Macaca mulatta: one gene and its partners. The protein of the gene in region 6 purifies or fractionates together with the protein of the main gene of each other region. This does not show direct contact. Links are inferred from orthologs where the notes say so. Each region holds a gene or a part of one and is shown on either strand. Other genes may lie near its edges.

Region 1 (4,090 bases), on a different chromosome or scaffold from region 6:
AGTCCTCAGTCTCCCTCTAGCTTCCGTGGCCACTCACCTTTCTGTGTCCCACACTTCCTGGATCTCATAACTATCAAGAAAAAGGACTTCAACCTTATTCTTGAAGAGTATCACAAAGCTTCCTGAGGACTGTCCTCTATGTTTATCTCCTTTAATTGCCCTGGCTAAGAGGAACCTGGCTCACAGCAGCAGAACTGGACCTTCCCAACTACTGAATAGAGGGCAGATCCCTTCCATTGCACAGCCCTCCAGAGTGGAGAATGCGCACAACCCGTGGCAATGGGGCTGGCACAGGGGGACGTGAGTGGTGCAAGTCAGCCTCAAAGAAATGAAAAGCTCGAGGCTGAATGATCAAGTCCACGTCGCTAGAGAAGAAAACAGAGGGCAAAAGTCCAGACAACCTCAGCCGAAAATCCCACGAATACGTCATGGTATGAAATAAAGTCACGAACCTGCCCCATCCAATCCGCAATCCCTTCTTCCATAAATGAGCCCCACCTCAATGACATTAAGTGCATCCAAACATCTTCACAAAGCACTAGAGATCACTTTTAGTGTTCCGAGGGCTTGTGCTGAATCAACAACGTCCCCGACTTCTCTGTGCTCTGGGAAGGGGGCAGGCATGCGGGAATGGCTGCCCGCGTGCTGGGAAACTTTACTAATGCCAAGAAATGAAATCTTCCCAGCCTTTGAAAGGCCTCCAAGAATGTCAGCACGTACCGCCTGCCCACTCTCTGCTGAATGCCTACTTTGGCTGTCTGCTTAGTACTGAATGTGCCAGACAGGCCTTCATACAAAGACGGAGAGTGTGTTGGACCCATGAAAGGGGAAGGCACAGCTTTTCCAATGTGAATGGCGAGATTCAAGAAGTAGGTGACGAAAGGGGAGGGCGAGGAGGGGCCCTCAGGAAAGGTATGCATAAAAGACCGAAAGAGAAGAGTTGGCATCCTCCTACGTGTTAATAAATTCGTTGTCAAAGCTGGAGATGTAGATGACTGCCGGCCTGTGCTCCATGCTTGATGGCATGTCTGTATGCCTTGCTTGTAGATTCTCTCTGGATCGGAGGCTCCTGTCATCTGAGAACAAGAATTTCTAAGCCCTGCCAAGGCATATATATGTGGACTTCTGTTGATTTTTCAACTCCAAATATAAATGCTATTTGTACTGTGTTATTTGGGATTTTTCTTTTACTCTTTTCACCTCCAGTATAGAACAATATTGAGAAATGTTCATTGTTGTACATCTGAAGATCTTGGGGTTTTTTTTTCCTTAAGCTCACTTTAAAAAAGGAAGAAAAACATTTTGAATAGTGAACCATGCTCTAACTCTGTAACAGTGCTACTCATAATTCCTTGGCACGGCATCTCCTGCTAGAGGAAAGAACTCTTCTGGTGTTTTGAGCTTTTCCAAGGAGGCAGTCTGATGTCACTGGTGGCAGATGCAGTGTGTATGTATCTGTCTTTTGTCTGCACCATCTGTTTTTCTCCTTACAGTCTATTGTTCAGATTTATGCTTCTCTCTTTCCAGGAAGTGTGCCTTTCCATAAGAGCACAGGCCTTAGGTGCTAAAGGGATTGACCCAATATTCTAACATGGTTTCCTTCTCTTCCTTCTTTCCTAGAATCTTATGGCAAGGGCCTTATATGACAATGTCCCAGAGTGTGCCGAGGAACTGGCCTTTCGCAAGGGAGACATCCTGACCGTCATAGAGCAGAATACAGGGGGACTGGAAGGATGGTGGCTGTGCTCCTTACATGGTCGACAAGGCATTGTCCCAGGCAACCGGGTGAAGCTTCTGATTGGTCCTGTGCAGGAGACCACCTCCAGTCACGACCAGCCTGCCTCTGGACTGATGCAGCAGACCTTTGGCCAACAGAAGCTCTATCAAGTGCCAAACCCACAGGCTGCTCCCCGAGACACCATCTACCAAGTGCCACCTTCCTACCAAAATCAGGGAATTTACCAAGTCCCCACTGGCCATGGCACCCAAGAACAAGAGGTATATCAGGTGCCACCATCAGTGCAGAGAAGCATTGGGGGAACCAGTGGGCCCCACGTGGGTAAAAAGGTGAGTAAGTCACTAACTAAATCTTTGTTCCTACTTATTTTTTTTTCCCATTGCACTTGGAGCATTTGGAAATGTTCCCAAAATAATAACTTGAAGCTGCCAAGAAGTAGATATAACCAATACCTTAGCTCAGGTATCATGTATGCATGATTTTGCCATTCATCCATTATTCAGCAAAACCTCTTTGAACTACCACGTGCTGAGTATGGTTGATTTCCAGCCCTCCTAAGTTCCTGTGTCATCCTGGGTTACATGGGTTGTTAAACTGTTTCTCTCCATCTTTCTCACACATTAGCTTCTAAGCCTTCATTCTGTGCTCAAATAGTTTCCTATCTTTTCTGTTTCTTCATGGAGTGGAACAGACACCAAATCTCATACAAGCCTGATGATGCAACAAGGATCCTCCCTTGGCCAAAAGCTGAATCATGACCTCGGTGGCCTGGCTGAACAAGGAACCCACCCAAAGTAGTGAGAGTGAGGAAACTGGGAGTAGGTCATGCTGACCAACTCATTCTGTAGAGCTGTCAGCTTAGTTTGACTCATTTAAAATGCATAGATACTAGTGGAATTGGAATGAAGCTGTCCTCCTGTCCTTCAAGTCATTCTTATAATAATGCCTGAGGCAGTGGGTGAAAACAGTGGAACTTGGATATTTAAGAAGAAATTAATTTAAAAATACAGTGTGGGGGGCTCTGCAACACCCTGTATAATCCCAAATACTTTAGCAATTTGAGGTCAATAGAAATTCACTAATTGAACAATGAATGTTGAGCACCTAATATATTTTTGATGCTTGTGATACAGTGATTAATTAAAGATAAACAAAGCCCTGGTGATGCTTACATTGCCGTGGGGGAGACGGAAGCAACCAAGAGAATGCTAGGTGGGGACACGTGCTATCAGGAAAATAATGTCAGTGGACTGATCGGGGTAATATCCACAACCAACATGATGCTTATGTGAACATCACAAGGGAGGGATTTCCTCTTTCATTTACTGGCAAATTCCAATGGGTCCTGCAAGGTTTGGTATTAGGAATGAACCAATTTAACTGGGTAAGAAGATATCCCTGAATTACAAGAGGAAAGATGCAATTACATAACCAGAAAGAGCTTGTTGACCCTTAGAACACTAGCTATAGATCTGCCCTGTCCCAAGTAAATCTAATATGAAGTCTGATCTTACAAACCTCTGTAAATTAGGGAGTATCTATTTGATGCTATTAGAATCCTCGGTTGAAAAAACAAAGGATTCCTTTAAACAACGAAAGCACGAATGCATTTTTGGGTACATGGAGAGAGGCAGCCTAGAGACCCAGGATCAGGATAGTGCCGAAAACCCTTGGTGTTTGGCAGGGGATGTGCCAGGGCCACCCTCCTGCCCTCCCCATCCTGGCCATGTCACCACCCCAGACCCTGACTGTGCGGGTGGATTCCTTTAAACAACCAAAGCACTAATGCATTTTTGAATCACCTTTTATATAAAAAGCATGTTTTACAAAATACTTCTCAAGAGCACACATGTGGCATGAGCTGAGTGTATGTTCCTTAAGAGGGATTCCTCAAGGGTGGTGCACAGCTTTTAGACTTGTACTGCCCATGACAACGATGCCGGCCTAGAGGTGATAAACTGACCTGTGGCTTTTCAGTCTTCCTTGTCCTGGGAATTGTAGATTCAAAGGGAAAACGAAACCTGGCCTCTATCTCCAGAGGGGAAAAAAACAGTTGAAAGGTGTAACTATAAATAAATAACTTCTCTCATTCTTAGTCCTGGTTGTTTGCACCTTAAAAATAGCTCTCCCACATCTGAGCCAGTGAGGCAGATGGGGAGGCCAGAACAGGAAATGCTTGGCGGAGAGGTGGTGGGCTCTAAACTTTCATCACGGTTGACTTTGGCAGGAAGGTAGTGTGTTTTCCTTTTTAGACCCAACCTTTTCAGCTCCAAGTGGGAGAAGCCTAAGCCTTCAGACTTCTTCCCCTTGTGTCTGCTGGGACTGCCCTGCAGGCTTTCCCCATGGCTCCCT
Region 2 (4,090 bases), on a different chromosome or scaffold from region 6:
CTAGAGTGCAGTGGTGCGATCACAGCTCACTGCAGCCTCAATCTACTAGGCTCAGGTGATCCTCTTACCTCAACCTCCTGAGGAGCTGGGACCACAGGTGCGCATCACCACACCTGGCTTTTTTTAATATTTTTGATAGAGATGGGGTTTTGCCATGTCGCCCAGGCTGGTCTCGAACTCCTGGGCTCAAGCAATCCTCCCACCTTGGTCTCTCAAAGTGCTAAGATTACAGGCGTGAGCCACTGCGCCTGGCTCCCTGAGTATCTGCTGAGTCAGACCTTCTCACTGCATCTTCCTAAAGGAATTGGAGATAGAGCTCTTGATATAATAGAATAGCATAGAATTTTGTAGAAATCTCATATTCTGTCATTTTCATGAAGTGTTTCCTACTGTATATCAATTTTATTTTAATATAAGTGATTTTATTCCTCACATTCTTTGTGGAGATGTGGTACTCCAGGAAGATGTCACATGCTTTTTATCTGGAACATAGCTGCCCTCCCACCAGGGCACCAGCTCCCCAGGAGGGGGAGCACAGTCAACAGGGAAACCAAAAGTTCTCCCACTGCACATGGCAGTTCTACCCCCCTCACATTCTGTTATACACAGTACCCAGCACTTTGGGAAGAGGTAAGTGAATTGCTTGAGGCCAGAAGTTCAGTGATCACACCACTACACTCCAACCTGGGTGACAGTACAAGACCCTGTCTCAAAAAAATTAAAACGAGGCTGGGTGCAGTGGCTCACTTCTGTAATTCCAGCACTTTGGGAGGCCAAAGTGGGAGGTTCCCTTGAGCCCAGGATTCATGAGCAGCCTGGGCAACATACGGAGAACCCATTTCTTTAAAAAATAAAAATTAATTAGCTGGGCATGGTGGCACATGCCTGCTATCCCAGCTACTTGGGAGGCTGAGGCGGGAAGATTGCTTGAGCCCTGGAGATCAAGGCTGCAGTGAGCGTGATCATGCCACTGCACTCTAGCCTGGGCAACAGAGTGAAACCCCTTCTCAAAAAAAAAAAGTTACAATAAAAGTATGTCATATCAATACTTAAATTAAGAAAAATAAAACCCATCTTCCTGTAGGTTGGAGGCTGCCGTGTCTGATGGTAGATACTTCTAGTATTCAAAAGGGAACTCTTCATGACTCCCAAGCACCACTTACGCAAAATTTTCATTTCATGCTACACACTATACAGTTTTATTATGTCATTTAATCTCCGCGTTATAAATTAACACACTACAGGCCTCTCAGTTGCTCACGCAGTCACTGCCACAGTTCTGCCAGGCTTCTCCAGCCCACTCGCACAGGCCCTGAAGGGAGCTCAGAAAGCAGCTGGAACTATCAGGGTGATTAAAGGAGAAACCAGGGGACAGAGAGGAAGAGTCACTCCACCCAAAACATTTAAACAGACAGCTTGCTTTTTTTAAAATTGCCAATTAGCTGGGTGCAAAACAAACAACCCATCGCTTAGAAGGTGACACCTCTATTTTCACTTTTCTGTTTGCAAAGAACTGGAAGTTCAACAAATAAATGCTCAAATCAAAACTGATCAAAAATTAAAACTGTTTTAGGAACTACATAGACTTCTCCTAGCCCCAGGCCGATCCTGCTGTGTTTAACCAGCATGTACTGACTTGCTCTTTTGCATGAGGGGACTGACAAATTTGTTTATGCTGCACATTCAGTATGTCGAAGCTGCACATTTTGCTTTACGTCATGTTTCCTAAAAACATTTTTAGACTCTGCTGTCATTCTGCAAGCTGATGTGGGTTGGGAGGGTACCGAGTGCTTGATGTTTTTTGGTGAAGCTGAATTTTGATCCCTACCCATAGTGTTTGCTTTCTGGTGAAAATAACTTGTTGATGCCCAATCACCAATGCGGGGCCACACTGATGATGGGGGGAGAGGAAGGGCCTGTGGTTCCTTAAGAGCACACAGTATACCGGGCACCTGGCAGGCACTCTTCCCGCCCTTCAAGGGTGAGGAAATCAAGGCTCAGCCAGGTTAAGTTACTTGCCCAAGGTCAACCATTTTACAAAGAACCGCTGCTCTTTTTTTCCATTCAGGCCATTCTTTCAATTAAAACCCAGTTTCTTTCTTTAAGGGGAAAAATAAAGTGAGGCGGGTGAAGACCATTTATGACTGCCAGGCGGACAACGATGACGAGCTCACATTCATCGAGGGAGAAGTGATTATCGTCACAGGGGAAGAGGACCAGGAGTGGTGGGTACGTACGAATCCATCCACTTCATTGGTACATTCATACAGCATGCCTTGGCAGGCACCACATGGGAGCCTACAAACAGTGCAGTAAAAGAGGTCCCTTGAGCTGTATCACTCACCCAACAGCCATTGAATGCAGTATTCTCAATTGTATTTTCTGTGTCACACACTATTACATGCTAGAAAAACAGCCATGGAGCTGGCCGGGCACGGTGGCTCACACCTGTAACTCCAGCACTTTGGGAGGCCAAGGCAGATGGATCACGAGGTCAGGAGTTCGAGACCAGCCTGGCCAGCAGGTGAAACCCCGTCTCTACTAAAAATAAAAAAAATTCGCCAGGCATGATGGCGTGCGCCCGTAGTCCCAGCTACTCGGGAGGCCAAGGCAGGAGAATCACTTGAACCCGGGAGGCAGAGGTTGCACTACGCTACAGCCTGGGCAACAGAGTAAGACTCCGTCTGAAAAAAAAAAAAAACAGCCATGGGGCTTTGAAGACAGGTCAAGAGAATTCACATTTGTATGTGCTTTACCCACGGTATCATGTAACCTTGTAAATTGTAGGCATTTTCTGATTTTTCAGATAAAAAACTAAAGCAGAAAAAAGTTGAGCATGTTGCCTGTGCTCCCTCAACCAGTAAGCAGGCTAAGTCAAGATTCTGGATCGGCCCTGACCCCAGAGCCTATATGCTTTGCTCACCATTCCACACTGTCCCCAGGCTGGGAATCAGAAGGCCGGAGTTCCTGCTCAGGCTAAGCAGTTGACAAGTCCTCAGGCTCCATTCTTAATCCAGTCTGCAGTTCTTTCTTTGTCAAATAGGCCAAGACACCTTCTCCATGTAATGTTAGGAAAAGATTAAATGAAAATATCTATGAAAACTCCTTTTACATTAAAACCTGCAGCCCAGGCATCAGGAGGGAAAGACATCAGCATCCTCATAGGCCTTGCTGGGTACTCAGGCTATCAGTGACCTGTGAGGGCAGTCCGCACATCTGTTAATTTTCAGGTTGCCAGGGAGTAAGTCCCGATGGGAACGGCTAGTCCAAGGTACAGTGAACAAGCCCCCTCTTCTGCTTTCCTTGTTGATCATTTCCTGCCATCAGGCTGAAAATTCCCCTTCCTTGGCAGCCTGAGCCCCCTACTGCCAAGAGGGATTCAGTTTTGTCTGCCAGGAAGGGACCTGAGGCTCGCCATTGAGCCAGCAGTACCTAAGAATGCCCAGAAATACATGTGTATATAATGTGTGCACACACCCGTATGCATGGACACACATTCACCTTGACTTTTCTTCCTTCAGGCCTAAACAGTGACGTCAGATTTTTTTTTTTTTTTTTTTTTTTTGAGACGGAGCCTCGCTCTGTCGCCCAGGCTAGAGTGCAGTGGCTGGATCTCAGCTCACTGCAAGCTCCGCCTCCCGGGTTTATGCTATTCTCCTGCCTCAGCCTCCTAAGTAGCTGGGACTACAGGCGCCCGCCACCTCGCCCAGCTAGTTTTTTTTTTTTTTTTTGTATTTTTAGTAGAGACGGGGTTTCACCATGTTAGCCAGGATGGTCTCGATCTCCTGACCTCGTGATCCGCCCGTCTCGGCCTCCCAAAGTGCTGGGATTACAGGCTTGAGCCACCGCGCCCGGCCCAGATTCTTAATCACAGCTCTAAGGATTTTGTTTGGACTCAACTGGGGCAATTTTGCCCTCCAGTACATTTACAACATCTGGAAATATTGTCAGGACCAAGGAAGGGGGTTGCTACCAACACCTAGTAGATGGAAGCCAGGGATGCCACTAAACATCCTCCAGTACTCAAGGAGCCCCCACAAGCAAGGATGCCAGTAGCACCGTGGTTGAGAAACCCTGAACTAAAGGGATC
Region 3 (4,090 bases), on a different chromosome or scaffold from region 6:
CAGCAGTGATTCTGTGAAATCAAGAACACCAGACTTCAAGTCAGAAGCATTCTAGTCTAAATCACCTGCTGAGTGAGTGTGTGATTTTGGTGAAATCACGTAATCACCGAGTCTTGGTTTTCTGATCCGTAATTTAGAAAAATAATGCCTACATCACAGGAAAGTTTTGAGAATTAAGTAAATAGCATATAGGAGTGCTTTATAAACTGTAAGGTAGTTTATAGATGTTAACATACCTCAGAGCATACTTACAGTAGAATATAAAATCCTTGTGAGTGCATATAACGTCAGTGCCATTCTTTTCTATGGGATATTTCCCCAAACTCAGAATATATAAAATTACATCATCCTCTCCTTCCAACCCGGTGAGATTTCTTTATCTCTCTTGTTTCTGTCAAGGGTACCACTGTTCTTCCTACTCCAAGACCACTGACTTTTTTTTTTTTTTTTAAGAAATGGGGTCTTGCTCTGTCATCCAGGCTGAAACGCAGTGGCGTAATCACAGCTGCCTGCAGCCTTGACCTCCCAGGCTCAGGCAGTTCTCCTGCCTCAGCCTGCTGAGGAGGTGGGGTTACAGCTGTGTACCACCACGCCTAGCTAATGTTTTTATTTTTTCTTAGATATGGGATCTCACTGTATTGCCCAGGCTCAAAACCAGTGATCTTTGAATCAGCATCAACTCCCCTATCTTCCTCGCCCTTCTCCCAACACCAAAGAGACAAACACTGAATGCTTTTACTTCTCCCTCTCCTGCTGTTCCTTTTCCTTCTCCTTCTCCTGCTGTTCCTTTTCCTTCTCCTGCGCAGTCCAGCCTATGAGCCTTCAGTTGGACATAGATGCCACTGTTGGCTTACATTGTCTACACTTCTTCTTTCATCATGCGGCTCCTGCCTTCCAGAACCTCCAGTGAACATTCCGAGTCTTTGAAACCTCTACCTGCCATGCAAGATCATTCATATTCTGGCTCATTCTTCCAGGCCAGGCTCATGTCTTCTCCCAGGACTCTGTGCTTTCCACCCCTGGGCCTGACCCTTTCCACGTACCCGCCTGGCCCTTCTCACTCCTTCTCTTTACACTTCCTTTTCCCATTCATCTGTCTATGCCTGTCTAAGGCCCGTGTCTTCTTTGAAGCCTTCTGTTTCCAGCCAAGCTAATTCTTCCTGACCTGCTTTGATTCCTTTTATAGTTATCGTCTGCATCATACAACTAGTGTTGTATTACACTCTGATCCTTTGCCCACCGTTGTTTCACCTAAATGATGGAATTTCAACAGGCTTGAGTCCCATAGATTTTTCCTAGCTTGGAAAAGTTTTATCATGTATTCCAAAAGATCCAGTAGTTTTTACTCCCTTCATTCAGTATTTGCCTGAAAAGTGTAATTGCCTTCACGGTACTTACACTATCAGGTTTACTTATTTATTTACTTGCTTGTTTTTTATTCTCTCCTCTAGAAGGTAATTCTGTGAGAGCAGGATCACCATTGTATTCCTGTTGTCTGACTGATCTTCTGTTTGCACAACACATATTTGTTATGTGAATGGACAAGTGAGTTTCAAAGACATTTTACAAGACAACCTGGGCCCAAGCCTTGGTTAAAAATGAATCATGTGTGGGCTACCTGTGCAAACTGCTCATTTCGAACATGGCTATGTTTGCACTTGCCCAGGCAGTCACACCTGTGACACAAATTACTCCCATGCCTGCGGCCTAGGAAATCTCTTGGGGAAAAAAATTTGATTAAAGAGATTATATTTGCAGTCTAGAGTGGAGAAAATAGTATTTAATGCGGTGATTTTCTCTCAGACTTTCAGGATTGGCTGGGGACTGGTACATTGCTTCTGTTCTCTGTGACTCTGTTTCTGTGCCAGAAGGCACGTTCCTTCTCCTCATTCTCTGAGGCTGTGCTGTTTAAATGCTGGTCCACAAACTGGATCATGATGAGATCGACAGAGTTTATACCTCAATGTAAATTAATGCACTTCCTTCCTTCCTTAAGAATGTCTTGCCATGAAAATATCAGCATGCTTGGTGATGTCATTGATTTACTTGAGGGCACAAGTTCCTTATTTCCTTGCAGATGGGGGTCCAGACTGTTTGCAGACTGGCCATGGTCCTTGGGCCACACCAGAAGCGGCACCGGGCTAAGTATTTTTTATGCCTGTGATTTAACTTCTCAAATAAACCGCAGCTCTTATAAGATGTGACAGTTGCTGTCAGGCACGGACTAGATATTCAATGAGAACTTGATGGTGTGGATTGAACCTTGGCTGGGGAGCGCAATGGCTCCCTCAGTACCCGGAACTCCAGTTGCCTCTTCACTCGTCCTATGTAATGACTTCCCTTGCTGTCTCTCACCTGCAGAATAAAATCTTCATCTACCGGGGAAAGGAGTATGAGAGGCGAGAGGACTTCAGCCTGAGGTTGCTAACCCAGTTCCCCAATGCGGAGAAGATGACCAGCACCACGCCTCCTGGGGAAGACATCAAGTCCTCCCCCAAGCAGTGTATCCTTCCCGTGGGGAATATGGCCCCGAGACTCTTATGGCTGTGCACAGCCCCTGCTAAGCCAGAGAAGATGGGAGCTACAGTCCCTTCTCTGCAGACAGACGATCCTCTGAAGCGTTCTGACACAGTTTCCCATTCCATGTAAAATCTTTGGGACCCTCATAGCATTAGCTGGTGGTGATGATGTAACAAAACAGGAGAGGTAGGCCGGGCGCGGTGGCTCAAGCCTGTAATCCCAGCACTTTGGGAGGCCGAGACGGGCGGATCACGAGGTCAGGAGATCGAGACCATCCTGGCTAACATGGTGAAACCCCGTCTCTACTAAAAAATACAAAAAACTAGCCGGGCGCGGTGGCGGGCGCCTGTAGTCCCAGCTACTCGGGAGGCTGAGGCCGGAGAATGGCGTGAACCCGGGAGGCGGAGCTTGCAGTGAGCTGAGATCCAGCCACTGCACTCCAGCCTGGGCGACAGAGCGAGAGTCCGTCTCAAAAAAAAAAAAAAAAAAAAAAAAAAAAAACAGGAGAGGTAATAGACAAGTGACGGATATGAAATATACTTCCTAGCCAGATGGGGTGCTTAAGTGGAACATAGACTTCCTATTCTGAATTCTGGATTCTGTTGTAGACTTTGAAACGGTATCTCTGTCCTGGTGGGTTGGGGAGCTAAGACTTTCTAAGACACGATCATTAAATCAGAGCAGGAGCACTTACCCTTGAGCTGCTTTTGAAGCCTAACTTGACCACTTACCAGCTGTGTGATGTTGGATTTTAACCTCTCTTATCCTCAGATTCTCCATCTGTGAAAAGAGAATAATCATTTCCCTCTCGTAGAGTTGTTGTGTGGGTTAGAGATAACATATTCAAAATACCTAGCACTGTGCCCAACTGTGGCACTGGATAAACAGATGGGATCCAAAGATACAAGCAATTCCTGTTGCCTGGGCTCTGAGTCTGGTGATTTCAGGGGATGCTTGTCCCAAGAAATTGTTTGAATCCATTTCTAAGCACCTGTTTCCTGATATTGCATTGACGTCTATTTCCCTATGGCAAGGGTTGTTTGCCAGTGTCTGACCAAAAAAAAAAAAAAAAAAAAGAAGACCCTAGGATTCATTGTAATCACTGAATAAGGCATTTCGGTGATACACAAAGGAACTTCATTTTCAATGTGGTCCTGGGATTTGGGTCAAAGGGAGTGATTGGTGCTGGTGGCATTTCCGGCTGTGAAGCAGGAAGAACAGGCCTTTGGTGTCTGACAACTTCGCGGCCCCAGCCCCTCTCTTTTCCTTAACAAGTTCCTCAGACATGCAGTGCTTCACCGTAAAGCCAGTGATGAGCTTGCCGCCCAGCTACAAGGATAAACCAGTTCCGGAGCAGATCCTAAAGTAAGTGGTTTTTCATCTAAAAAAAAATATCTGTGTCTAGGCACAGTGGCTCACATCTGTAATCCCAACATTTTCCGAGGCCAAGGGAGGAGTATTGCTTGAAGCCAGGAATTTGAGACCAGCCTGAGCAACAAAGTGGGACTCTGTCTCTACAAAAAAGAGAAGGTTGTCTCTCCCTCACACTTGTTTGGAGTACATTAAAACC
Region 4 (4,640 bases), on a different chromosome or scaffold from region 6:
GAAGCCAAAAGTATGTGCCCACCAAAACAAGTGCCAAGAATCTTTGAAAGAAGGAACTGTTCTTCAACAATTTTTTCAATGCAGCAAACACATAGGCTTTGTCCATGGAGCATGTAAGTCTGGGCTTACTTATGTTCCCCAAATAAGTGTCCTTTGTGTGTGGAGCACAAGAAAATACATATATGCCCTGTCCTGTTAAGGTGCGAATTTAATTTCTACATTACACAATTATCAACAATCAGGAGTATATTTCTCAAGAACAGAATTAAAAATTGGATGTTCAAAGTCACATGCCAACATCTCCAACTTGCTCTTTTGTGATGTTTCGGTCACTAAATGCAGTGGCTGAGTGTTATCTGGCTTTTCTGTTCAAATTCTCTGTGAGGCTCTAGAAATAACTTAGCCAGTATAATGTAACACTGGCAACTTAATTTTCTACCTTCAGAACAAGACTGGAACTGAAACTGCAAACAGCTTGTGAAATACCAGCCAAATTACTTCCCCGAACTCCTGTTCCATATATGCTGTGCATTAAGTATTTTAAGTATTTTAAGACCTCTTATATTCGATAACCCCCTTTACAATCCTGTAAAACGCTTTATAAACACTTTCCTGTGTGTCAGATGCAAAATCTTACCCTCTTCAAGCTGCAGATAAGGACATTGAGATGTTGCCAAATACGCTGTTTTGTCCCAGAGCACATACTGAGGAAGTGGTAGAACCAGAACCAGTCTGTGACCCCCGACTTTGTTTTACTTTTTCGGAACTCCTGATCTGTTAAAGGTGCAATACCAGCGATAAGACACTGCGTGTGGCCAACAGGGACAAAGGCCACTGAGCAGTCCTAGGAATTCAGACTTTCAGAAATGTCTCAGAAGAACTAAGTAGAAGACAGGTTGTGCAGGTGTGCAGTGCAGTCTCAAACTGGTACCACCGGGAATGGTTTGCAAAACAGGAAGGTGCAGTAGGGTGTGCCGGCACTTAGTTAACCTGGCACTCCCCCACCTCCTTCCCTGGCGCCCCGCTGCCAGGTTACTTCTGGCCCGGTGCCCTTAACGTATCTTTTCCGTGTTTAACTTGAGGGCTACGTTCCCATCGCCCTTCTTCCTCTACCCGTTACCCTACAGGCCTACCTGACAAATGTGGGGACGGTTTAGCCAAGGCCCGTTGGCCCACGAATGCCCAGGGGTGTCCCTTATTTCTGAGAGTGGGAGGGAGACAGCCCAGGCCCTGCAATGACGCGCCCGGGTAGGGGGGCGCGGTGGCGCGGTCGGGAGGGTGTCGTGTCTTCAGCAGGCCTCAGGGCGGCACTCTGGTTCCGCGGCCGGAGCGCTCGGGCGGGCCGCTGGGCGCCGACCCATGCTGGCTGGGAACGTGTCTCCCGGTGACGCAGCCCCGGGTGGGGAACGTGGTGCGGCGGCTGCGACCGTACGCGCCTCCGCCGCCCCCGAGAGGACGCGCGGTGCAGCGGCTGAGTGGCGGCGGCGGTGGTGGCGGCAAACCCGGAGGTGCGGGTCGGCGCGGGGGAGGAGGACGCGGGTGCGGTCTAGGAAGTAGGTCCCGGGCTCCGCGCTCAACAAAGAGCGGGGCCGCCCCCATCAGGTACCGAGCCGGCCCTGGGCCCCGGCGGGCGGGGAGGCCCCGTCGGGCAGTTCGCGGGCGGCCGGGGAGGGGGAAGGGCTGCAGCCCGAACAGGGATACTGGGCGCCAGGGGCCCTTCCAGGCCCATTTCTCTTCCACGGCCGCTGGCGGAACGGAAGGGAAGGGGCCGGGCCGCGAGGGGTCGTAGCCCGCGACGCCGACCCGTCTTTGCTCGTCCCTCGTGCAGGCGGAGCTGCCGGCGAAGGCTCCATGTTGGGAAGCGGCGCCGTTCGTGCTCGTTAGCGGGAATCGGGGAGCCGCCGGCTGAGCCGGCGGGGGCCGGGCCCTAAGCGAAGATGGAGGCCCCGCTGCGGCCTGCCGCGGACATCCTGAGGCGGAACCCGCAGCAGGACTACGAGCTTGTCCAGAGGGTCGGCAGCGGCACCTACGGGGACGTCTACAAGGTAAGTGAGGCTGGCCCTGCTTTTTTTTCCTGCGGTCGACTGGGTCCCGGGAATGGGACGAGTATTGGGGCGAAGTATTGGGGCGAGAGGAGGATGCTTTTATTGTTGCCTCTAGGGGGGAAAGCGGCCGAGGTCCCTTTTACTCGGTTCTGAGCAACCTCGACTCGTAGCTTATGCTAATCTCTACCAACAAGCAGAACTAACCACACAGTTGCAAACCGCTGTTGCACTTTTTTGTGGTTTAAAGGCTTTTTAATAGGGCTTGTTTATGGTATTGAAGGGAATTTGAATCTGCTTGTGGAATTACACCGAAGGATGCCCTAGTGTTAGCATGGAAAAATGCTTCATGGAAGATAGACAGGAAAAAATATTGACATTCAGACATTTGCATTTTTTTAAAAAAATTTTGTTTTAATGGATGAGTTTGGCTTAAAAAGTCATATAAAACCCTGTCTCTGAGCTTTAACTGTAAACAAACTAATATTGGTGACATGTATGCAAACATTATCCCATATAAAAAGATGCTTTTCCTGGTGGAAGTTTGATCGTTTGTTTTTGGTTGACGATAAAAATGTGATATTAACTTGCTGGGTTTTGTTTTACTTTAGCGGTTCCTTTCAGGGATTTCTAACATCCCATAACCATGAGTGGATATGAGCTGATGTCTTTGTATTGTACTCTTTTGTAATACTTAAGACAAACGATGAGGGTGAGTTACTCCTAATTTAGGATTTTAAAAAGCATTGTAGAGAAGCAAACCCAATTCCCCAAATCCGCTGTGTTATTGAATGGTTCAGAGGAAAGAGATTGAGATTGCCTTATGCTTTTTGTTGTGTGTTCCAAAAAGGGAATAGCGTTGTTTATTGGATTTGATCATAATACATATCCCATTGTGCCAAACAACACTTCTGCATATCCGCTGAGATGGTTTTGTGTCATTTGGGTAATTAACCAGTAGATTCCTCTGGAGTTATGTTGTTGTTTTGTACAGGTGGTTCCCCTCTTTCTACTTACTTTTAATTTCCTCCCTATTAATATTACCATTTCAAGGTGGTGGTATTACAGCCCTAGCACTGTTCGATTCTACTGAGATAAACTGTAATGGATAGGCTTTTTATTCCTTAAACAAGCATTCGAGTCTTCTGTACCAGTCACTGCTAGAGGTACTGAGGTGATGAATTCTGAGCAAGGCTCCGGCTCTTACCTTTTGAATACCTTTGAACTCAACGTGTATGATTGTAACAATCCTCCTCTTCTTTATGTAAAATTAGAAGTAGTTAACTTAGTTGTTTATCCAAGGATTAGCCATTTTGTGGAATGCTCTTTAGAAAATTGAAATTCCTGTTTCCTTTCTCAGTCTCATTTTTTAGTCATCTTTGTCTTATGATTCACTGTGTATTAGACCAGTTCAGTTTAGTTCATGTTAATTTACAATAGTATAAATTCTACTTGTTGTATATAGTCTCTTCTCCCTACTACAATAAAGTTTCAGGAGTGTTTTCCCCACAAAGATCTTAAGACGTGCACCCTTTTTCTTCATAGATATGGTAACTAAAGCAACTATCTGGAGCAGGATTTTATTCATGCCAGGGAAAAAGCAAAGATTATATTTAAGGGACAGCTAATGCCTGCCTTTTACCCTGGTGCCTTCCTGCCCTAGTCTCTCTTCTGCAGTTCCCAAACAGAGGATCAAAAACTGAATATTCATCACCCTCTACCTTCACCCCTTAACACATGGTCCCCTACTCTCACAATATTGCTTCCTCACACTTACATGTATATTCGTTGCACACTAGGCCAGCCTCTGATTCTAAACATCCTTAAGGCATTCGTAGCTCCTTGTCTTTTGTTTTCCTTTGTTCTAATTACTTGGAATCACCTTCCACCCCTCCATTTCCACCTGTTGCTATAATACCTGTCCATGAAAACCTTACCCAAATGCTCCTGGACAAGACCTAGCCCTTCCCCCTTGTTTTTCAGCCTCATCTACCACTCTCCTTAGTCATTCTGCTCTAGTCACACCGGCCTGCTTGCTGCTTCTTAAACATAATAAGCATCTCCCCATCTTTGGGTCCTTGTTCTTGCTATTTCCTCTCTTCGTAATGTCTCCCCCTTCCCCCCACCCCCTACTGTATGGCTTGCTCCCTTCCTCCTTTTTTTCACACCCTCTCAAATCTTTTTTTCTACTTAAATTTTGCTTTGTACTTACCACCAACAAAATGTTTTACTTATTTTTTTTTCTTGTTTTTTATTTATCTTGATTTACTAAAATACTCCATGATGGCAGGGATTTTAATCTCTTCACTGCTCTGTCTCTGATTATGCCTACCACAGAGTACTTCCTAAAAATTTGATGAATAAATGAATGAATGAATATCAGACTCTGTCACCTAGTTCTCTAAGCATATGCTTTTGACATAACACTAAGTTAGCATTTAGTACTCTATGTATTCCTGTAATGCCTTCTTGTTTGTCTGTTTGGTTACAGGGTCTCGCTCTGTCCCCCAGGCTAGAGGGCAGTGGTGATCTTGGTTCATTGAAACCTCAATCCCCCTGGCTGAAGTGATCCTCCCACCTCAGCCTCCCAAGTAGCTG
Region 5 (4,824 bases), on a different chromosome or scaffold from region 6:
CTAGCCTCTCAGAAGCCCTGTAGGGCAGTTCTCTCCCACTCCACAGGGCGACTGGTCTGGAGAAAGCAGGCAGGAAGAGCTCAGGTCCGACTTGAAGCTTCTCGCACTGAAGCCTGTGCAGTCAGTTCTGATACCTCCTGTGACTTCTGCTCTGGCGAGGTTCAGGGCTCTAGTAGCAGGAGAGATGATCCTGAATCCTGCTGAAGCTGGAGAGGCCTTGGCAAAATGGCCCATCACATTTAGGCCCTGTGGGCTGAGGTCTCAGCAGTATCAAGGGAGGGGTCCGCTGTATCCCCAGAAGGATCAGGATCATATCCAGGGTGCCCCACATACACCAAACCAGGCAGAGGGCAGCTCAGCTCCTGTCCCATCTGCTTTGGATATCATTACCCAAAGGCAGGTAATCCGAAGAGCCAGCCTCCACTGCCCACAGAGCCAGGCCCAGTTGGGTTGGAGTATAGGTCAAGAGCTGTGGAAGGAGGCAGTCTGTGAGGGACTCATAATTTAGGAGTCCTCACCCCTCAGACTGCTGCAGGACATTGCCAGGCCTCTATTCCCTTCCTCAGAATACAGACTTCATGCTGTCTTCAAATCCCAGGGAGTCTTAGCTATTAGGGCAGTTTCTGCTTCTCCATTTTGGGGACAAACGCCTTACCCAATACAAATCTAGCCCCCCATCCCACAGACTTCTGGATGGTATAAACCTAGTGGCAACGTAGCAACGATAGGCCAGAACCAAACCCAAGATTTGGGTCAGTGCCCTGTTACGGGTTTTAGGACTGGTAAGGACACCACAGCTAAATCTGACGTGTAAAAGGATACCCTTTCCCCGTCCCAGTGCGGGTGGACTGTATCCCCACCTCTTCAGATCCCATAGATTGCCGGGTGACATTGGGCACAGGGCTGGATGGTGTGCTGTTTGAGAGGACAGCATGCTCAGGAGATTTCAATAGGAATGATCTCTAGACTGATGTGTATTTGGGGAAGTGGGGGTGGGGAAGAGGTAGGTGCCTGCTGCCTCAAACCACCTTGTGTAAAATCTGCAATACAGCTTCTTCCATGTACCTGTGCCTGAACTGTCTGCAATAAAGAAGAATTTGTAAACTGTGGTTTCTTTCTTCTAACCTGAGGGTGCCAGGTGGGACAAGGGGATGCTGGGGGACAGTAGGGAACAATGACTGATCATTGTGGTGGGGCCATCTCTGCTCTTGCAATTCCTGAGTTTTATGACCTCGAGGGTCGCCTCAGGCCTTGAGTTATTCCCACCCATTCTCCAAAGGAAACCTGAGGCACCTGCCAATTCAGGATATTCTGGGGGTCTGAAGGACCTTAGCATGGGCGGCTGAGTTGACCCCGTCCTGGGACCATTGGAGCCATGCTCTGGGAGTGGGCAGGGACCTGGCGGCTTCTGAGTCGAGTAGGGTTCTGGGTGGCCCAGTGTGTGGACGTTTACCTCATCCCTGTGGAACTTCCCTGACCTCGCGGGCACAGGGGCGGGGCCGCCGAAGGGGACGGGCTGCGGGAAGGGTTTAGGCTTCCGCCCCCAGCCCGGAACCTTTCTTCTCCGTCCCTGACAGGTTCCGGGAGCCTCGGCTAGTGGGGGCCGGAAGTGGAGGCGGTTGGTGGTGTTGGCGGGGCTCGGGGACGCTGCGCGGGCGGTGGTTTGCGAACTGCGGGTGGACTGAGTGTAGTGACCGGCGTCCTGCTGTCTCGCCCCGTCGCGGGTGGGCGAGGGTGGGTGGTGCGCGGCGGCGGCGGAACGAACGCGGTGCGGGCGGGGCGCCCGCCGCTGGGCTCATGGCCTCCTGCGCGAGCATCGATATCGAGGACGCCACGCAGCACCTGCGGGACATCCTCAAGCTGGACCGACCCGCGGGCGGTGAGCGGGGGTTGCGGGGGTGGGCCCCAGGCGAGCTGACAAAAGGGCGGCGCGCGTCTGAACCGCCCTTGGGGCCCGCAGCTCCCTTAGGACCAGCTTTGGATCCTCCTGGCGGGTAAGGGTGGACGGGGATTGACTGCGCCCCTCGTTTCCTGGCCCCAGGTCTCTAGTGTTCCTGGGACTGGCCTAGCTTCTCTTCCCTTTCGCCATGGTTCAGAGGCCTGGTCTGGGCTCCGTATATGGAATTCTGGGCCTAGGCTTAAGCGCGATGCTGAAGAGCCGCCGGTCCCCGCCATAACTTGCCCTTCTCTCTGGAATAAAGACTCCAGGCCTCCCGTTCTGAAACTGATTTCCAGGAGGAAGGTGTCCAGCCTGAATTCCGTGTTCTTTCTGGGATGAAGGCAAACCACAGACCGCACCACCCTGACTGAATTAGGCTACAAATATCTCCAAGCCCTAATTTCTTCCCATTCATTCATATTTCTCTTTGGCTCTTAATGATACCTCAGAACTAATCTTGCCCCCAAAGATTCCTCAAGACACAGCTAACAGGGTTGTAATATACTGTTGTCATTGAAAGAGAGGAGTGTCTCGATACTGTGATGGGCATGGGAAGGGTGGAGGCTGATGAGTGCAGAGTACAGGTCTGAGAGGGGAGAGTGGGCTAGGTCTGGTAATGTGAACAGGGTCTTGGGTGTCAGGAAAGGCACCCAAGGCATGTATGTAGACGCCACCTATTAGGAAAAGGAAATAGCACGTGTGGAGGCACTAGTTTACTGACAGGTTTAGGGATCTCTGAAGTGGCCGGTGATAATGGTGTGGGTGTACAGTGGAGGACTGATGTTTCCTCAGATCTTGTTCTTACACCTGCTGGGAGGCCCAGACTGGCTGCTTTTGGAAGCAGGCACTGGTGCTCACTAGGGGTGGATTCAGCTAACCCCTACTTTCAGAAAATCCATCTGCTGCCTGAGACCACTGGGGCCTTTGTGCCAGGCCTGGAGTGTGTGCCCTCTTCACTCATGAGTTGGGCGTGGACCTCTTCTGCTGCTCAGCTGCTTTGCAGACTAGACTCTGCAGATATTTGGTAGAGCCTGGCATGGCCAACCATGTACAGCCTGGGCCTGCTTTTTGGTTGTCCTCATGGTACCCTTCATGGAAGGAAGAGTGGTCAGCTTGTCACTGAACAGCTAAAGTGGCTCTGATCCGAATGAAGTGGCCTGCAGGCTTTCCTTATAATTCCTTTGTTTATTGATTGGCACTTGATTCCCTTGTTTGCCAAGCAGCTCTTTCTTGTTTCCTCTCACTGGAGGACCAGGTCAGAACTCAGACTGTTGAGGGCTGGGTGCGGTGTCTCCCGCCTATAATCCCAGCACTTTGGGAGGCCGAGGTGGGTAGATTGCTTGAGGCCAGAAGTTCGAGACCAGCCTGGCCAACATGGTTTCCCAACATGGTGAAACCTCGTCTCTACTAAAAATATAAAAATTGGCCGGGCACAGTGGCTCACGCCTGTAATCTCAGCACTTTGGGAGGCCGAGGTGGGCGGATCACAAGGTCATGAGATCGAGACCATCCTGGCTAACTCGGTGAAACCCCGTCTCTACTAAACATACAAAAAATTAGCTGGGCATGGTGGCGGGCACCTGTAGTCCCAGCTGCTCGGGAGGCTGAGGCAGAAGAATGGTGTGAACCTGGGAGGCGGAGCTTGCAGTGAGCCAAGATCGCGCCACTGCATTCCAGCCTGGGCGACAGAGCAAGACTCCAAAGAAAAAAAAAGCTGGGTATGGTGGCTCACGCCTGTAATCCCAGCACTTTGGGAGGCCGAGGCGCGTGGATCACAAGGTCAGGAGTTCGAGACCAGCCTGGTCAAGATGGTGAAACCCCATCTCTACTAAAAATAAAAAAAAAGTAGCCGGGCATGGTGGCACGTGCCTGTAGTCCCAGCTACTTGGGAGGCTGAGGCAGGAGAATCCCTTGAACCTGGGAGGCGGAGGTTGCTGTGAGCTGAGATCATGCCACTGCACTCTAGCCTGGGCAACAGAGCGAGACTCCATCTAAAAAAAAAAAAAATTAGCTGAGCTGTAATCCCAGCTACTTGGGAGGCTGGTGCAGGAGAACTGCTTGAACCCAGAGGGTGGAGGTTGCAGTGAGCCAGGATCGCGCCAAAAGAACCGAAAGACTGTTGTGACTGGAAACTTGCTATGTTCCTGAATGTGGAGCCCTAGGCTCCTTGCCATTTGGGGATTTTGGAAATGGTGTCTGAGCCTATGAGAGTGTTTGAAACCCAGCCAGTTGCAAAGAACTGAAATGCTGTCTTTCGTTACTCCACACTCTGTCCCATAGTTTTTCTCCTTTTGGTCGAGCTCCTTTATGTCCCTGCATTCTGTGTTTACTTGCCCAAGATAGCTTCTTTGGAGCCATTTCTGTGTGGGGCAGCCCCTTCCACATCTTACCAGTGCCCTTCCATGCCTTAGGAGCCCATCTTCTCTCCAGATCTTGACACTACATTGGTCTAGGCCGTGATCTCTCTCACCCAGATTCTCAACCATTCTGCCTGCTATCTTAATCATCCCACTGGCCAGAACTGACCGCGTCACCTTCCCCTTTGAAACTCTTTATGGTTCTCATGGCCCACAGGGAAGAGTCTAAGTGCCACAGCATCATACCTGATGCCTCTGCAGCTTTGTTTTCCCTCCATCCTTCCTGTGTTTGTGTGTTCTGGCCACACTAACTGCTGTATAAAGTCTTTCCTGACCGTTCCTATGCCCTCACTCAGAGTGCACAGAGTTCTGTAGTAACCCAGGCCTGAGTATTAACTGGCCTCAAAGGGTCCTTGATGGCTTGTACCCCTCCCCCAGGCAGAAGAGCCTCATGCTCATCCTTGGTCCTGCATACGTCAGCGTTTATGGAACGAGAGATGAACACAGGGCCCTCCTCCTCATGGACAT
Region 6 (4,090 bases):
GGCTCTGGTGTGAGTCACAAAAGATCTCTAGCTCAACTGATAATGCCTGAAGCTAAGCTCCCCATCCCCTTGATAAGCAGTGATCACACACAGTACATACGTTTTAGCTCAACATAAAGACATTTCTAAAAATTGGCCAGGCACAACAGCTCACACCTGTAATCCCACCACTTTGGGAGGCCAAGGTGGTTGAATCACCTGAGGTCAGGAGTTCGAGACCAGCCTGGCCAACATGGTGAAATCCTGTCTCTACTAAAACTACAAAAATTAGTCGGGCATGGTGGTGTATGCTTGTAATCCCAGCTACTCAGGAGACTGAGGCAAGGGAATCGCTTGAACCTGGGAAGCGGAGGTTGCACTGAGCCGAGATCGTGCCACTGTACTCCAGCCCATGCGATGGAGCGAGATTTCGTCTCAAAGAGAAAAAAAAAAAATCCAAAAAAACCCAATACCCAAATCAAAAAGAAAAACTTACTAAAATCATAAACCAGTTTTCTACTCAAATCTTTATTTATAAGATTTGTGTTTCACAGCAGGTAGAAAAGCTCAACCATTTTTTTGAGCAGTAAAGCCTCTAATTAAGGCAGGCATGATAAAATCTCTTTGAGAAGGGAAATGCAAATAGAAGCAAAATTCATGTGATAACTGGTTTCTCCTGGGTCAGCTGGCTTGTTCCATGGTTTTTCTTTTTTTGAGACAGAGTCTCAGTCTGTCACCCAGGCTGGAGGGCAGTGTCATCATCTCAGCTCACTGTAGCCAAGACCTTTCAGGCTCAGGTGATCCTCTCTCCTCAGCCTCCCGAGTAGCTAGGACCATGGGCATGTGCCACTATGCCTGGCTAATTTTTTGTAGAGATGGCATTTTGCCATGCTGCCTAGGCCGGTCTCCAACTCCTGAGCTCAACTGATCTGTCCACCTCCGCCTCATAAGGTGCTGGGATTACAGGTACAAGCCAACACGCCCGGCGTTTGATCCATGTTTTCATACTTACTTCAACCCAGTGCTAACAAAGTCTGGAATAAATATCAAGAGTTACACCTAGTGACTCAGTAAGGCCAGAAAAAATAAAAAAAAAAAAAGAGAGAGGAAAAAACAAGAAAATAAAAAAGAGTCAGATCCATCATACACACAGCACCATGCCAGATGTTACCGTCATCTCATCTCACCTCACAGGAAGACCTGAGGGTAGAAATCTATTTTCCTCCAAACAAAGAATGAGAACAAGAGGCAGTGATAACCCTGACAACACACATTCCATTTCTCAGTCAAGCCAGGACTGCAGGTGCATGCCACCATGCCTGGCCGTTTTTTGTTTTTGTTTTTTTTTTTTACCACTTTTTGTTTAAAAAGCTGAGGTCTCACTACGTTTCCCAGACTGGTCTTGAACACCTGGTCTCAAGTGGTCCTCCTGCCTCAGCCTCCCAAAGCACTAGGATTACAAGTGTGAGCCACTGTGCCCAGTCTGTACTAGCTTTTACACTGAACCATCAGCTCTTCTGAAAAGAAAGGAACGGAGAAAGGAAGGAAGGAAGAAGAAAGGAAGGAGATAAAGGTGTGACTGAGAAACAAAGGAATAAAGGAATTAACACCATGTAATGGCTGGCCAGAAGGAAGTGGGCTACCGAAGGTATTTCACCAGTTAAGGCAAAAATTAACTCCTGAGGAAGAACTGGCTTCTTAAATGATTTAGAAAGACCCGTGCACCTGCCACTCCTCGGAATGAGGACTTCTGGGTGTGAGTCTCTTCACACCTCTACCATGCCTGCTTCCTCCTGGATTCTTACTCAATGAACACAATTAGTGGTAAGGAACTTCACGTCCCCTGAAGCAAAAACAAGTTTCTGCGGGAAAATTCCATTTAAGTGCTTTGATAGAGACCACTTATTACACTCAAATCCATCTGAACCCACCTTCTTTTAGACAACGACAAACAGAAAGCAAGAAAACAGATGAGGATGTGGATGAGGAAAAACATTTGAGGTGAATTCCTGTGAATTCAGGTGGTGTTATTAAAGCAGTCCAAGTGTGTTTAGTAGATCAATTAAGAACATTCAGTTATACAGTTTTAAGCTTACTCATTCCCAAACAGGTTTTCTATGAAAAAGAGAAAACCCAACATTAAATGCCAAAATCAGTGCTTAGCAGCTTTGCCATCTACAACATCCCAATGCTGCTGTAGTCAGCATTGCTACAAAGCTCTAAGAGGACCGAGAGGAGACCCTGCAGCAGATCTCTTCTTTCTACATTGTGCACGTTATGTACCTCCAAAGCCAAGGCTGTCTTGTCGTAGGCATTGGGGACTCGCTTCTGGATAACCCTGGCATATATGGGCCCATTCTGGAGGTTAGGGAGCGGAGTGTTGACGCTGGGTTGGGCATAGGGCCCAGGCTCCGGCCCACCCAGTGGCTGTGGGTGGGAACCCTCCTGGTTACCTCCAATCAGAGCCGATACTGAGGCGGAGGCAGGTCTATACTTCTCGACGTAAGGGACTGGAATCATCCCTCTCTTGCCTTCGCTGTCCTCCGCATTCCACCACTGCTCTTCAGGCTTGTCCCGGATTCTCAAGATGTCTCCTTTCTTAAAGGGAAGATCTTCCTCATCATTCCCATTAAAGTCAAAGAGGGCTCGCACATACTCCGCCTCCTCCTGCCTGAGAATCACTCCACTACCCTGCCTGGATCTGGAAACCGGTTCTATCAACGTTGTAGTGTCCAAATAGTGTATTTTGTAGAATTCCAGTAAAGCAGGCAATGAATCAAACTCTTGATCTCCTATTCGGAGTCTGGAGGGGCTCACCCCTGGAAAAAACAGAGCAGGCTGTTATTTAATGATGTACTATACTGGAAATTAAATACAGATTTTATTTTATTTTTTTTTAGAATTGGGATCTCACTGTATTACCCAGGCTGGTCTTGACCTCCAGGGTTCAAGTGATCCTCTCGCCACAAACTCCTGAGTAGCTGGGGCTATAGGAGGTCACCACTGTGTCTGGCCGAAATGGAGATTTCACGCCCCATATACATTTAGTCAAGATTTAACCAGAAAAAAAAAAACTCTAGAAAAAATAACCCTTCTCTTCACAGCATACCGACATCACATTTGGAAGCTGAACTATCCCCTGGGAAGAAAGATGCCCATCACTAGGGCCCCAGGGAAGGATCAGAAGGCCAAGAGACTAGGCTAGTCAGGACGCACTCTCATACTTGAATCAAAGACAGAGGGGCTTTCAGCGCATCCTCCAAACACATTCTGTCGCTGCCCTATTTACAGAGCAGTGTACGCCTCAAGGTTCTGTCGCATCTTTTTCGGAGACCAAGTCTCACTCTGTCGCCCAGGCTGGAGTGCAGGGGCGCGATCTCAGCTCACTGCAACCTCCGCCTCCCAGGTTCAAGCGAAGCTCCTGTCTCAGCCTCCCGAACAGCTGGGATTCCAGACTCCCGTCACCACACCCAGCTTTTTTTTTTTTTTTTTTTTTTTGTATTTTTAGTAGAGATGGGGTTTCACCATGTTGGCCAGGCTGGTCTCAAACTCCTGATCTCAGGTAATCCATCCACCTCAGCCTTCCAAAGTGCTGAGATTACAGGCGTGAGCCAGTGCCCGGCCTGCATCTATTTTTCAATCTCAGGAAATGTAGCAAGCTCTCATTTTCCATGGGTCCCTGCTGATGTTCCAGAGGGTGGAGAGAGCTTAGTGTCTGCACTGAGCTCATACATTTTTCCCCTCCACATCTAGAATGTATAATTCCGAATAAAAAAAAACTGTCTCTTTATTGTTATGGTTTTTGTTGTTGTTGAGACAGTCTCACTGTGCCGCTCAAGCTGGAGTGCAGTGGCACGATCACAGCTCACTGCAGTCTTGACCTTCCAGGCTCAAGCACTTAGGGAAGCTGAGGCAGGCGGATCCCCGGAGCTCAAGAGTTCAAGACCAGCCTGGCAACATGGTTGTCACTGCAAAAAATTTAAAAAATTAGCTGGGCGTGGTGGCACACTTCTGTAGTCCCAGCTACTCGGGACGCTCAGGTAGGAGGATGGCTTGAGCCTGGGAGGTCAAGGCTACAGTGAGCCATGATCATGCCAATGCACTCCAGCCT
Region 7 (4,090 bases), on a different chromosome or scaffold from region 6:
TAGAGGCGTGGCCTCTACTTCCAGCATGCGTGTGCACGCACACATGGGCACACAAGTGTACACACACATTGTTCGAGTGACTCTTGGGATTTCAAGGTCAAAGTAAACACATACTCACAGTTTTGAATAAAACAAGCACAGGTGCACATGTGTATACACACACACAAACACACACACACACACACACACCCCCCAGTGGAAGGAACGCTCATCTCTTAGCGCAAATATGTGCCAAGGGAAGAAGGGGGAAGGTTTCTGTAGACTCGCTTCAGGTGAAGTTGCAACATAAACACTGTAATATACAGCTAAAAAAATACATACAAAAATTGCACATATATCCATAGGAGGGGAGCACAGGCTGCACACATGGTGAACAGCTCTCAATCACCCACCTCAGCAATCAGAATTCTCGTGAGCTGTCCTCCAGAGCCATTTTAGAGAGAGTCAGAAGGAACAATGAGCCACTTACACTGGGAGGCAGTCTCTCTAAAAGAGGTCAACATTCTAAGGAGGTCAGCAGTCTCATCAGTGGCCTTCTTCCCCTCCCCTGCCTACGGCCATCCCAACAGCCCACCTCACTGTGCCCTGTAAGATCTTAGAGCTCCACCGACAGCTATTTCATTCAGGGCAATTGTTTACAGCATTTGCTAAACTAGTTAACACTGGCTACTGATAGAAGGGAGCTGGCCAATTACTGCTCAGGGGAAAACTGCAAATGCTGACAGTTCTGACAGTAATCAAAGGGTACTTTAAACTCTGTTCCCTGATGGCCCCTAGAGAATTGCACATGCAAGAAAATCATCTCCTCATGCCCTGCCAGCTATTTATAAGCTCTGAACTGCACTCCACCCTGCTGAGGCATTGGTGACACCACCTTGGGTCAGCTCTGTAATGGGCCACAAGTGGCTGATAAATCCAAACATCACTGGCAAGTGGGGACAGAGTAGAGAATCAGGCAGTGGCAGCAGAGGGGAGACTATTAGGGCTGTCCTCCATGCAGTGCACATACTTACAGATAATGGCAATGAAAATGGGTTGATGACCCAAGGATGGGATCTCTCCTTTTCTTTCTACTCTCTCCTGGAACAAAGGATATAGTCCCTGGTAACCAAAACTGGGCTGATGCTAAAGATGGCAGTTCTGCCTAGTAAGTCAGTTGTTGACACCTTAAAGGAAGAGTCTGTTGTCAGAGTCTACTGGGTCATGGTAGAGACTGGTTAAGTCTGTCTACTGCTAGTGAGAATAAATACTCGGTGCTAAAAAGATAGGTGATATCCAGAATTATAGAAGAAATGGACACAGCTCACTGGCTCACTGAGTTCATACCAAAGAAGCTGTCCCTTCAAGAATATGGATTTTCATTTTTACCTGCATTTTCTTCTATTAGGATAGAAGGTGTTTCAAAGGAAGGCAACCGCAAGTTTGTGCAGCTGAATTTCTGTAAAGTTAAGACAGACTCAGCTTCTCATTCAATTTGGGGCAGTGGATAACCTTTCTGAATGGACCTACTTGTTCATGGACAGGGATAGAGGTTTGTCTTTCTTCTTTCCTTGAATTTGGAGTGAGCACTAGGAAGGGGAAGTGCATGGGTGACATGAAGAAGGTGAAGATGTGGTAAAAGCAGCATCCAGGTACACATTAACGGTGCTGTAGAATTTTCACAATACAACTGAGGGAGTCTGTAGTGGCAAAAGCCAAATACTGAGCACAAAGCCAGTCCTCAAGGCTGATCCCACCTTCCCTGTCCAGGGACTTCTCAGCAAACTTGATCATGAGCAGTGTTCGCTTGATGTCTAGCCAGTTTTGGAGCAGGGTGTTCCTCTGCACTAGGCTAGGGCAGGCGGTGAAAGTCTGGAAGAGATCTTCGCGGGGGCCCCAGAGCAGACACTGGAGGATGCCTTTGGCGTCTGAAATGAGGATCCGCTCAGAAGGGTTGGGATTCAGGAGGCAGCTGGCCAGCTGCTGCAGACCCCGGGAGTAGGGGGAGCGGAGCGGGATGCGAGGCAGGTCTGCTCGTGTGTATTCCCTCTCCTTCAGCTCTGGGTTCTCATCAAAGGGGTTGGGTAGGTGCAGCATCTCATAGATAAGGATGCCTGTCTGGAACTCATCACACTTTTTATACTGGGTAGCTGTTATGATCTCTGGGGCAAGGCGAGACTGGTCCCGGAGGATCTCGGGGTCCACCAGATGGCTCTTCTGTTTGGCCTGAGAGAAGTTGCTCACTATAAGCCTAGTGGGATAAGATGAGGTGGGGCTGGGCTCCGCAGGCCCAAAGCCTTGGGCAGTGCCCCCAGGCTGGTAGTGGACAAGTAGCAGGTTCTCTAGGCGTAGATCGCAGTGAGTGACATGGTAGGGTTTGAGGTGCTCAAGACCAGAGCATAGCTGTAAGAGCAGCAGACACACCTGCCTCTCATACAAATCAGGGCTTTTCCCATGCTGGGCTAGAGAGTCTCGCACAAAATCAGCCACAGTGAGACATGGAACTTCCCTGGTGATGACTACAACATGGCTCCTCTGCTTCTTGCTCATGACTCCCTGGCTGTCTTTCTGGGATGATGCTGCTTCAGAACAGGGCTTTGGGTTTTTCCCATCCGTTTCTCCTTTGGCTTCTTCTTCAGTCTCTTCCATGTCATCCTCTTCCTTTTCAGGGTCATCAGGATCCTCCCAGGGAAGCAGACGGTTAGGGACTTCAGCAAGGAAATGACCACAGTCCTGCTGAATGTTAAAATGGACAGCCAGACTCTGCCGGACAGCCAAGCTGTGATAATACTGCTGAGATTCTTTAGCTTTGCTCTTACAGATCTGAAAGATAATAAAACAATTTAAAACTCACACTCTCATAACCATGTTTATGATGTATCAGGAGGATTAACTACAAGGTGACTGGTTAGGGACAAACGATCATATAGTAAAGTTGTTAGCAAGGCTTGCCCCATGTTAAGTGACAATAATAATGGTGGTAACCGTTTCTCATGGTTGTCTACACATTCCAGGCTGTGGTGAGCACTTTCTGTGTACCATTTTTAGTCCTCACATTAACCTTTCAAAGTAGATTAAGGATCTAAGAATTTAAAAAAGAAAAAAAGCCCAGGGTTATGTTTGCAAACCTAAGTTTGTGTAATGCCAAAGCCTGCTCTTTCCACTATAACCTTGCACCTCATCAGAACAACAATGAAATAATTTTTCACTTACTTCTGTAGAGGTTTGTAGCCCAGACTGATAGAGCGGGCCAACAGACTCATAATGGAGACCAGAATACCTTATTTCATCACCCATCACCCTTTGTGTCAACATCTCACAGGGAAGGAGAGGGATATAACATTGGCCAGGTAAACTGTGGGTTTTCCTAACTTTTCAGTGAATGTCATTGTGATGGTCACAACACTGGCACTCATGGATCACTGGTAGGGTTGAGAGAGTCACTGGTCTGACCTAGTCAGAACAAAACCATCATTTCAATGGCGGTTGTCTGAGTTTTATGCTTTCTCTTAACAGGCCTCATTTAACACCCGCTATTGAGGCAATAAGACCTTTCCTAAAGAACTTTATTAAGTGGTTATGGATCAAGGAAGAATTTTTTGATCAAAAAAAGTTAGCCAAGAGTTCTATATACTGTGATGATTGTATTTCTACTCTAAGGGGTTATCAAACCAAAAAGTAAAACCACCCCCAAATGGGCTATCCTCATGCTATAGAGAGGCTGACAGTGGAAGACTCAAGTCTCTAATACTAGTTCATGGATCATAATAGTCTGGCCTGGAGTCCGCTCCACAGCCCTGTTAACTGAGGGTCATTCTCTGCTGTCCCTCCTCAGCAGGGGCACACTGCCACATATTACAAATATCAAAGGCTTCCAGCAACATGCACTCTCTGTAGTGTTTACACTGCGTGTTTATTACAATAATACAGAAAAGCAAATTTTAAAAAAGCAATTTTTAGTAATTTTTATTTAAAAAGAAAAATGTATACATTCTTAGGAGGATTCAGATGGGTCCCCAGTTCTGAGAAGCAGCACATTCTGATTTCCATTCAAATACATTAAAAAAACAAAAACAAAAACAAATCAAAGGCAAGGGAGTCTCAAGGGAAA

Evidence for each region.
Region 1: the proteins of CRK (region 6) and NEDD9 purify together in Homo sapiens (affinity purification with western blotting; 3 studies listed by BioGRID). This does not show direct contact. The link is inferred for Macaca mulatta from reciprocal best matches to the Homo sapiens genes CRK and NEDD9.
Region 2: the proteins of CRK (region 6) and ASAP1 purify together in Homo sapiens (affinity purification with mass spectrometry; 3 studies listed by BioGRID and IntAct, with this or other methods). This does not show direct contact. The link is inferred for Macaca mulatta from reciprocal best matches to the Homo sapiens genes CRK and ASAP1.
Region 3: the proteins of CRK (region 6) and DOCK5 purify together in Homo sapiens (affinity purification with mass spectrometry; 3 studies listed by BioGRID and IntAct, with this or other methods). This does not show direct contact. The link is inferred for Macaca mulatta from reciprocal best matches to the Homo sapiens genes CRK and DOCK5.
Region 4: the proteins of CRK (region 6) and MAP4K5 purify together in Homo sapiens (affinity purification with mass spectrometry; 4 studies listed by BioGRID and IntAct, with this or other methods). This does not show direct contact. The link is inferred for Macaca mulatta from reciprocal best matches to the Homo sapiens genes CRK and MAP4K5.
Region 5: the proteins of CRK (region 6) and EDC4 purify together in Homo sapiens (affinity purification with mass spectrometry; 3 studies listed by BioGRID and IntAct, with this or other methods). This does not show direct contact. The link is inferred for Macaca mulatta from reciprocal best matches to the Homo sapiens genes CRK and EDC4.
Region 7: the proteins of CRK (region 6) and PEAK1 purify together in Homo sapiens (affinity purification with mass spectrometry; 4 studies listed by BioGRID and IntAct, with this or other methods). This does not show direct contact. The link is inferred for Macaca mulatta from reciprocal best matches to the Homo sapiens genes CRK and PEAK1.

Annotation. Positions count from the first base shown.
Region 1 is NC_133409.1:171,910,067-171,914,156, forward strand, and holds part of NEDD9 (enhancer of filamentation 1), read left to right. Parts: exon of another isoform or gene 1-1,605; intron 1,606-1,620; coding exon 1,621-2,067; intron 2,068-4,090. UniProt on the Homo sapiens protein: Scaffolding protein which plays a central coordinating role for tyrosine-kinase-based signaling related to cell adhesion. As a focal adhesion protein, plays a role in embryonic fibroblast migration.
Region 2 is NC_133413.1:140,447,431-140,451,520, reverse strand, and holds part of ASAP1 (arf-GAP with SH3 domain, ANK repeat and PH domain-containing protein 1), read left to right. Parts: intron 1-2,106; coding exon 2,107-2,229; intron 2,230-4,090. UniProt on the Homo sapiens protein: Possesses phosphatidylinositol 4,5-bisphosphate-dependent GTPase-activating protein activity for ARF1 (ADP ribosylation factor 1) and ARF5 and a lesser activity towards ARF6.
Region 3 is NC_133413.1:27,133,772-27,137,861, forward strand, and holds part of DOCK5 (dedicator of cytokinesis protein 5), read left to right. Parts: intron 1-2,361; coding exon 2,362-2,503; intron 2,504-3,803; coding exon 3,804-3,885; intron 3,886-4,090. UniProt on the Homo sapiens protein: Guanine nucleotide exchange factor (GEF) for Rho and Rac. GEF proteins activate small GTPases by exchanging bound GDP for free GTP. Along with DOCK1, mediates CRK/CRKL regulation of epithelial and endothelial cell spreading and migration on type IV collagen.
Region 4 is NC_133412.1:123,762,936-123,767,575, reverse strand, and holds the start of MAP4K5 (mitogen-activated protein kinase kinase kinase kinase 5), read left to right. Parts: upstream 1-1,428; 5' UTR 1,429-1,553; exon of another isoform or gene 1,554-1,602; intron 1,603-1,828; 5' UTR 1,829-1,937; coding exon 1,938-2,045; intron 2,046-4,640. UniProt on the Homo sapiens protein: May play a role in the response to environmental stress. Appears to act upstream of the JUN N-terminal pathway.
Region 5 is NC_133425.1:63,447,040-63,451,863, forward strand, and holds the start of EDC4 (enhancer of mRNA-decapping protein 4), read left to right. Parts: upstream 1-1,595; 5' UTR 1,596-1,797; coding exon 1,798-1,879; exon of another isoform or gene 1,880-1,898; intron 1,899-4,734; exon of another isoform or gene 4,735-4,824. UniProt on the Homo sapiens protein: In the process of mRNA degradation, seems to play a role in mRNA decapping. Component of a complex containing DCP2 and DCP1A which functions in decapping of ARE-containing mRNAs. Promotes complex formation between DCP1A and DCP2.
Region 6 is NC_133421.1:2,983,179-2,987,268, forward strand, and holds part of CRK (adapter molecule crk), read right to left. Parts: intron 2,799-4,090; coding exon 2,263-2,798; intron 1-2,262. UniProt on the Homo sapiens protein: Involved in cell branching and adhesion mediated by BCAR1-CRK-RAPGEF1 signaling and activation of RAP1.
Region 7 is NC_133412.1:55,256,113-55,260,202, forward strand, and holds part of PEAK1 (inactive tyrosine-protein kinase PEAK1), read right to left. Parts: intron 2,803-4,090; coding exon 1,639-2,802; 3' UTR 1-1,638. UniProt on the Homo sapiens protein: Probable catalytically inactive kinase. Scaffolding protein that regulates the cytoskeleton to control cell spreading and migration by modulating focal adhesion dynamics. Acts as a scaffold for mediating EGFR signaling.